2 linked regions of the Cricetulus griseus genome follow. The protein of the gene in region 1 interacts with the protein of each later gene in a pairwise test. Links are inferred from orthologs where the notes say so. Each region holds a gene or a part of one and is shown in the gene's direction. Other genes may lie near its edges.

What was found. The genes of interacting proteins can lie anywhere in the genome.
Region 2: the proteins of Rnps1 (region 1) and Srsf6 interact in binary tests that used the Homo sapiens proteins (3 or more experiments, as listed by UniProt). The two-hybrid records come from large-scale screens. The link is inferred for Cricetulus griseus from reciprocal best matches to the Homo sapiens genes RNPS1 and SRSF6.

The regions. Positions count from the first base shown.
Region 1 is NC_048600.1:43,954,503-43,958,247, forward strand, and holds the start of Rnps1 (RNA-binding protein with serine-rich domain 1), read left to right. Parts: upstream 1-875; 5' UTR 876-1,026; coding exon of another isoform or gene 1,027-1,028; intron 1,029-1,337; exon of another isoform or gene 1,338-1,418; coding exon of another isoform or gene 1,419-1,462; intron 1,463-2,366; exon of another isoform or gene 2,367-2,568; intron 2,569-3,745. UniProt on the Homo sapiens protein: Part of pre- and post-splicing multiprotein mRNP complexes. Auxiliary component of the splicing-dependent multiprotein exon junction complex (EJC) deposited at splice junction on mRNAs.
Region 2 is NC_048599.1:16,582,565-16,586,290, reverse strand, and holds the start of Srsf6 (serine/arginine-rich splicing factor 6), read left to right. Parts: upstream 1-921; 5' UTR 922-1,065; coding exon 1,066-1,172; intron 1,173-1,371; coding exon 1,372-1,520; intron 1,521-2,800; coding exon 2,801-2,925; intron 2,926-3,030; coding exon 3,031-3,239; intron 3,240-3,395; coding exon 3,396-3,479; intron 3,480-3,579; coding exon 3,580-3,726. UniProt on the Homo sapiens protein: Plays a role in constitutive splicing and modulates the selection of alternative splice sites. Plays a role in the alternative splicing of MAPT/Tau exon 10. Binds to alternative exons of TNC pre-mRNA and promotes the expression of alternatively spliced TNC.

The DNA.
Region 1 (3,745 bases):
TCCTAAACCTTAGATCAATTCCTCTCTCTTCCTTGCTGTCTCAAACCTGTTTAGATAACCGCAGGGACTGTGTACATATCCATTCCTTCCTCAAAGAACCACAGAGGAAGGAATACGCCAAGCGAAGTTGGGAGGCGGGGCACTGCAGCACCACGGGTACTGTGTAGCCTAGGCCCTGGACCTCTATGTCCTGACAATGACCTTCACCCAGACTGGCGTTCCTTTTCTTCTCCCAGCGAACCTGGACGCCTTCCTTTGCACCTGTTGTTCCCTCCGCCCCGCGCATCCTTTTCAGAAATGTCACCTCGGAGACGCCTCCCCTACTGCATGTCTTCGGCATTTCCTCAAACTCCTTTCTTTCTGGCCTACCCGCGTCTACGCAGTTTTGGCGGCAGGAACCCACCGTCGGTACCAGCCTGTCCCTTTAGAATAAATAGCACGGCTTTGCTTGGACTCTCCGCCGCCTGGGCTGTAAGGCGCACCACTCCCTGCAGGGCGCGTAACCATACCGTAGGCCTAGCACTCAATAAGAGAGTCAATAATAATAGTAAGAGTCGGTAAGAGCCGGGCAGTGGTGGCGCACGCCTTTAGTCCCAGCACTCGGGAGGCAAGGCAGGCGGATCTCTGTGAGTTCAAAGCCAGCCTGGTCTCCAGAGGGAGAGCCAGGATAGGCTCCAAAGCTACACAGAGAAACCCTGTCTCAAAAAAAAAAAAAAAAAAAAAAAAAAAAAAAGTCAGTAACAGAGACAACCAGAGTATATCCTTCCGCACACACGCAGCCCTCCAGTCCCCGTCAGCCAATCATCCGCGCGCTCCGAGGCTGCGCAAAACGAGTCCCGGCAGGACGCTCTTCCTATAAACAGTCGCGGCCTTCAAGTCTCCACCGCTCGGGTGCATTGGCTGAGGAGCTTTACGTCATCGTTGCGCGACGACGCAGTGTCTTCCCGCTTCTCAACTCTGACGACGACAGAGTTGCGCCGGCCTCCGGGTCTGAGAAGAGCGGGAGGAGGTGGCGGCCTCGGGAAGATGTAAGTTGGGAAGGAATCCGGCCGCATCCGAACTTCGGGGACCTTCTGCCGGGCTCGGTGGGGAGCATCGTGGAGCCGGTTGCGTTTCGCAGCCCCGCAGTGTGGTAGAGGTCTGCCGGCGACGCGCAGAACCCGAAGAGAAAGAGTGGTTCAGGTCGGGCGGAGTGGGAGGTGTCGAGGCCGCGGCCCGGAAGTGGTCGAGGCGCTCGCAGACGGAAGGGCGATCCCGCATCGTTAGCTTGGCGGCGCCCAGCGTAGCTTGCGGGACTCCCGGCTGCTGCGAGCGCCGCCTCTTCTCTTGTTTTTTTTGTCTAGCTGGAGACCTAGGCTCGCCACGCCAGGCCCTACCTGAGTTGTGAGTGGAGAAAGGGTGGGAGGCGAGGTCGATATATGTGGCCGGAGCAGACGGTGCCGATTGTGAACCGGCCTAAAAGGTTGGCTTTCTTTTAGATCTCTTTTCACGAGTGTCTATCGAACTCCTGCGTGTAGTTCTTAGCTCTGGGCCTTGAGGATCCGGCTCAGGGTGGGCTGAGCACGGTTCCCGAGCTCAAAGGGAGACTATTGGAAGGTTATGGTTTGGTGGTAGGCTTTCTTTCTCTACTTTGTGTTATTTCGTAGGCACGGCGTCTCAAATGTGCTTCTATATGTAGAGAGTGACTTGAAGGTTGACGAAACGGCCTCTGCTCTAGATTTAACTAATTGTTTTCTCCTCTCTGGCTGTTGGACGCACACTTCCGGAGGATGGGGAGGTGACCAAGGTCCTGAGCTGTTACCTGAACTTGTGTGAGCAGAGACCCTCACCTTTGCTTCTAGCACTCGACCACACCCAGCAGAGTGTTCGCTTACTCTATAGTTAATAATTTGTGGACTGCTTAAGAATAACGGGTTCTGGTTGTTTCATAAAGTATATTCCTACAGGTTGGGGTGGGGTACACAAGCGAAATCGCTATTCTTTGCCACTGATAGCTATGAAGCACTTGGGTAGCAACCCAAACTGAAATGTTAAGTAATTTAGTACGGAAAAACCACAAATACTTAGTATTTTAATATTGGTTATATGTTATAAAAGTAACACTATCTTATTAAAAACTAAGTTTGGGACCCATGATCCCACCACTCTCAAGAAAGAAAGAAAAAAATCATTAATTTTGTACTGTTAGTCTATGTCAGTAGTAGAGTCCTTGTTAAATGAGGGGGGGTTGTTTTCTTTGCTCTTTTCTTTTTTTTTTTTTTTTTTCCTTTTCTTTTTTTTTTTTTTAAACAATAGTTTCTCTTTGTAGCCCTGGCTGTCCTGGAACTAGCCAGCTCTGTAGACAAGGCTGGCCTCAAACTCAGAGATCGCCTGCCTCGGCCTCCCAGGTGTTGGGATTAAAGGCGTGCAACACCATTGCCGGACCAGGCTCTTGAGTTTTATTCTCCAGCACTACAAGAACAAAACTTTTTTTTTTTCCCACCGGTTTTGATGTGGCTGCAAGGAAATTTGAGGTTGTGTTCATGGCTCACACTCTTACTGGACAGTGTTGTTCTATGTGACCTAAAGGTGAGCTGTTAGAGGCTTTATTAAGCATTCAGAAATCATGTGTAATGAGGAAAGAATGGGTGTGGACCTAGTTAATGCTGAGCTAGCTGGGTGCCATATCAGATTCACAGACTGATTTAGCTAAGGCCTTTGAGTAGTAATTGTCAGGAAAGGTGAGGCTGTAGGAGTAGTTCAGTTAGTAGTATGCTTTTGCCTACCTTCGTGAAGCCCTGGTTTCAGTCTCCAGCCCCATATATAAAACCTATAATCCCAGTGGAGGCAAGAGAAGCAACAGTCAAACTTTACTGCATAGAACATTTGAAGCCAGCTTGGGCTGGCGACCTTATCTTTAATAAAATAAGCCTTTTAATCCTTGTACTCGGGCAAGGGGTTAACTTGATCTACCTAGAGAGTTCCAGAACAGTTAGAGCTACATAATAAAGAGAATCTGTCTCAAAAAAAAAACAATAAGAATAACAATGAGTGCCAGCCAGATTTAGTGGCTCACACCTTTAATCCCAGAACTCCGGAAGCAGAAGCAAGAGTATCTCTGAGATCAAGGCAAGCCTGGACAATAGAGTGAGTTCCCAGACTGCCAGAGCTATGCAATAGAGAGGGTCTGTCTCCGTAAATAAAATTATTAGAATGAGCCGGGCGGTGGTGGCGCACGCCTTTAATCGGGAGTCAGAGGCAGGCGGATCTCTGTGAGTTTGAGACCAGCCTGGTCTACTAGAGCTAGTTCCAGGACAGCCTCCAAAGCCACAGGGAAACCCTGTCTGGAAAAAAACAACAAAAAAAATTAATAATAATAATTAGAATGAGTGCCATGACCAAGATGAAGATAGTGAAGCATGAAATCAAACACAGGCATGCTTGCTTACTCCAGACCATGAATTGCTCATGTTCCCTGGTAGGTGTGTATGGTATGTTTTAGGGCAAACAGATTGAAAAGATGTTATGGCCCTGGAAAGGAGCTATATAGGTGACCATTTGCTGTCTTCCATTTATTTGTTCAAAGCCAAGAACTCCTTCTTCTCTTTGGGGCTAGAATATTTATTCAGCAGCATCTAAAAATGCCCTGTCTCTGAAATCAAACTCTGATGGTGTATTCTTTCTCTCGTGGTTACAGTTGAGGAAGGTGAGAGAGTTAAGTTACATCCTGAGACCTTTGCTTATAATTTTCTCCCTGAGAAGAGGG
Region 2 (3,726 bases), on another chromosome or scaffold:
AAAAGACCTGTTGGGAGAGCAGAAAACAAATTCCTGAAGAGCAGGTAGTGAGTGACTCGGTGACAGCCTTTTCTCCCAGCTTCCACCACACCACCCTATGCTTTCAGTTTCCTAACCTCTGCAACCAGCCTTTCTTTTGCGGTACTTAAGTTAATTTACTCCGGAGGGGGTGGGGGGGTGTCTTGTTTATCTAGCTCTACAGCGTTAGATGTCACCTCTACAAACTCCTAAGTGTGCATTTCTGCCACATAAACACCGTGCCTTCCTAGTCAACAGGGTTAAGGACAGCATGGGTAGGAAAGGAGCTCGGTGTTCTTGGGGGACCGCCGGGTCACCCGCCTGGTGGTGCGTGGGGTCTTGCCACGCTCCCTTTGTGAGCAGCCGCGGTGAGCGCGGGATTCAGAGCTGTCAGCATTCGGAGCGGGGTGAAGGGTGTCACCGAGACTCAAGACTCGCCACCGCACCTTCCCCGCGGCGGGTCACTACGACCTCCCGGCCAGAGATGGGGCGGCAGAGAAAACTGAGTCCGAGAGCACGTTCCCACCGAAACCAGCGCGAGCCAACCGCTAAAGGGAGAGCGCAACCTCTTTTCCCAGTACACCAATCAGGGACCGGAACGGCCTTGACGGACAGCCCTGAGAACCAGTGAGAACTAGGGACCGTTCTCCGCGTGCTTGGGCACGAGAGCGGTTGACGACAAGGCACCCGTCAAAGGGCCCGCTCCCGGCTGGACTGGGTACGGAGATGGGTGCCGAGCGCCGGGGAACATCGCGGCCGCGAGACCGCGGTCCCCCAAGAAGCCCGTCGCCCGGGAGCCCGCCCGCCCGCCGCGGCGCGGGAGAGGACGTGCTGCGCGCCGACGTCACGCGCCGCGCCCCGCCCCGCCCCGCCCCGGACGCTTATAGCGTAGGCCGGCGCGCGCGCGCACCATTGTGTGGCTGACTCGGCCGCAGCTGCGGTGTGAGGCGCGTGTTCGGGCCTTCGCCGTCCCCGCACCCGCACCGCAGCCGTGCCCCGCGGCCCGCCGCACCTCAGCTAGCCTCCGGGACCCCACCCGCCACGGCCATGCCGCGCGTCTACATAGGACGCCTGAGCTACAACGTCCGCGAGAAGGACATCCAGCGCTTTTTCAGCGGCTACGGCCGCCTCCTCGAGATCGACCTCAAAAATGGGTGAGTCGGGTCTGGGGGTCCGCGCCCCGTGGCGGAGGGAGCCCCCAAGGACCGAGTCGACCGAGGCCGCGGCGCCGCGTGGCAGGGCCTCCAAGATGGCGGCGGCGGCGCCGAGCGCGCGCGGGGAGGTGGCGGGAGCGCGCAGCGCCGGCTAACGACACGCCCGCCGGTGCGCGGCCCGCGCTCCGCCCCTCCTCAGGTACGGTTTCGTGGAGTTCGAGGACTCCCGCGACGCCGACGACGCCGTTTACGAGCTAAACAGCAAGGAGCTGTGTGGCGAGCGCGTGATCGTAGAGCACGCCCGGGGCCCGCGCCGCGACCGCGATGGCTACAGCTACGGAAGCCGCAGTGAGTTCTTCCCCCCCCGCGCGCTCCGCGTCCTGGGTACCGGGCGGGGGCGGTCACGGGGGAGGGGGGCGCAGGGCGGGACCTCCCTGACCCGGGCAGGCGCGGAGGCCGGGGGTCGTTGGCCCTGGGTGTTCCCGGGCCCCCTCTGCCTCCACGCATGCTCGGGGAGCCATAGGACACCGGAGCGCGGGGATTGGGTTGGTCGGGTGGCTGGCTGGTTGGTTGGCTGAGTTTGGAAGGGGTGGCTTCAGTTGGCCCTCGTTGGCACTGGTGTTGGGCTCTGCCCACGTTGAAAGCGGGGGTTGCCTGTATTTGTACCATTTCCCCCTTGCTTTTTCTGTCAGTGCTTTAGCTAGCGTCGAGGAAGTTTCTAGGAAAGCTGGGGTGGAGGTGGGGCAGGGGGCGGGGAAAGGGGAGGAGCTTGGAGCTTAAGCCTTAGGTGAGGGGAGACTTGGCGAGGGCCAAAGAGAATGCCATTTAAAACTAACTAAATGTGGTAGACTACCACAACGTAAATCTAAATTAGCTTTATGCTATATTTGAACTGGTTTGGGGCATGTTACTGGGAGGGGGTTGGGGGGATTTTGGTTATGTGAAATGTTTAATGTTGAAATTGTTGCATGTTGAATTCAAACTTTTTAACAAGTCCTTGATGTTTCAATTTAAAAGTGACCAATGGGGCTGAGGCTGTGTCCACTGAGGCTAAGATGACTGCCTTTCCTGATTGGCCTTGGCTTTTCCATACATTGTGTGACCCTTGCCCTATGACCCTTTGGCTGACCTTACCGGAAGCCATGACGACAGCAGCCTTTTGCCATTAGACGCAGGGTGATGGTGAGGATTCCAAGGGTTAGACAAAACTGGTTAATCTGAACTAGGTGACTGTTACCTTGCGTGTTTTGTGGCCAAACCACCACCAAAAACCTCACACTGTGATGTAAGTACTTAGTGTAACTAGTAAACATTTTTGTAAAATGTAGAAATGCATGTAATCAGTTAAGTTTTATATTTTACAATGTTCTGTAAAATAAAACTTAGCGAGGTAAATTGACTAAAGGAGCAGTCACTCTCTAACAGATTGTAGGAGAGGGTTAGTTGGATTTAGTCTATTTGACTTGCCCTTAATTTAATTTGTGGCAAATCACAAATGTATCGAGGGTTTAGCAGTATAATAGCAAAGTCCTACTCCAGTAATAAACGTTGCTATGTTTGTACTAACTTTCAAAAACATGCATCCCTGTCATTGCAATGCATCTAATTATTCCCTCCGTGTGATAAAGGTGGTGGAGGTGGATACAGCAGTCGGAGAACTTCTGGCAGAGACAAATATGGACCACCTGTTCGTACAGAATACAGGCTTATTGTAGAAAATCTGTCTAGTCGGTGCAGTTGGCAAGACTTAAAGGTATGTGCCTGGGCCTTAAATGACAGTGGGTGGTCATTTCCTTAAGAGTTGGTGCTGCACAGACATGCTCTAGATTTCTGGGACTGACCAGTCTTATTATTTTAGGATTTCATGCGGCAAGCAGGAGAAGTGACTTATGCAGATGCTCATAAAGAACGAACAAATGAGGGTGTAATTGAATTTAGATCCTACTCTGACATGAAGCGTGCTTTGGATAAACTAGATGGCACAGAAATAAATGGCAGAAATATTAGGCTTATTGAAGATAAACCACGAACAAGCCATAGGCGCTCTTACTCTGGAAGTAGATCCAGGTAACATGAGGGACTGGGATGGCTTGTAGTTTTCAGTTGTTGCTTAATTGAACTTACGGAGTTTCTTGGTTGTAGTAAGCAGATACTTCAGCCAAAGCTGAGTAGTACAAACCCATTCTTTCTAGAGATTCAAACGTCACTGTCTCTTGTGTGTAGATCACGGTCTAGAAGAAGGTCACGGAGTAGGAGTCGCAGGAGCAGCCGCAGTAGATCTCGAAGTATCTCAAAAAGTCGCTCCCGGTAAATAATGTGGTAGTGGGTCTTTCTTAATTTTACCTGTTGATGGAGTACATGTGATTTCTGACAAGATACTGAAAGAAATCTGGCTTTTCTTACACAGATCTAGGTCGCGGAGCAAAGGTCGATCCCGATCCCGCTCAAAAGGCAGGAAATCCAGATCAAAGAGCAAATCTAAGCCCAAGTCTGATCGGGGTTCCCATTCACACTCAAGAAGCAGATCTAAGGATGAGTATGGGAAGTCCCGAAG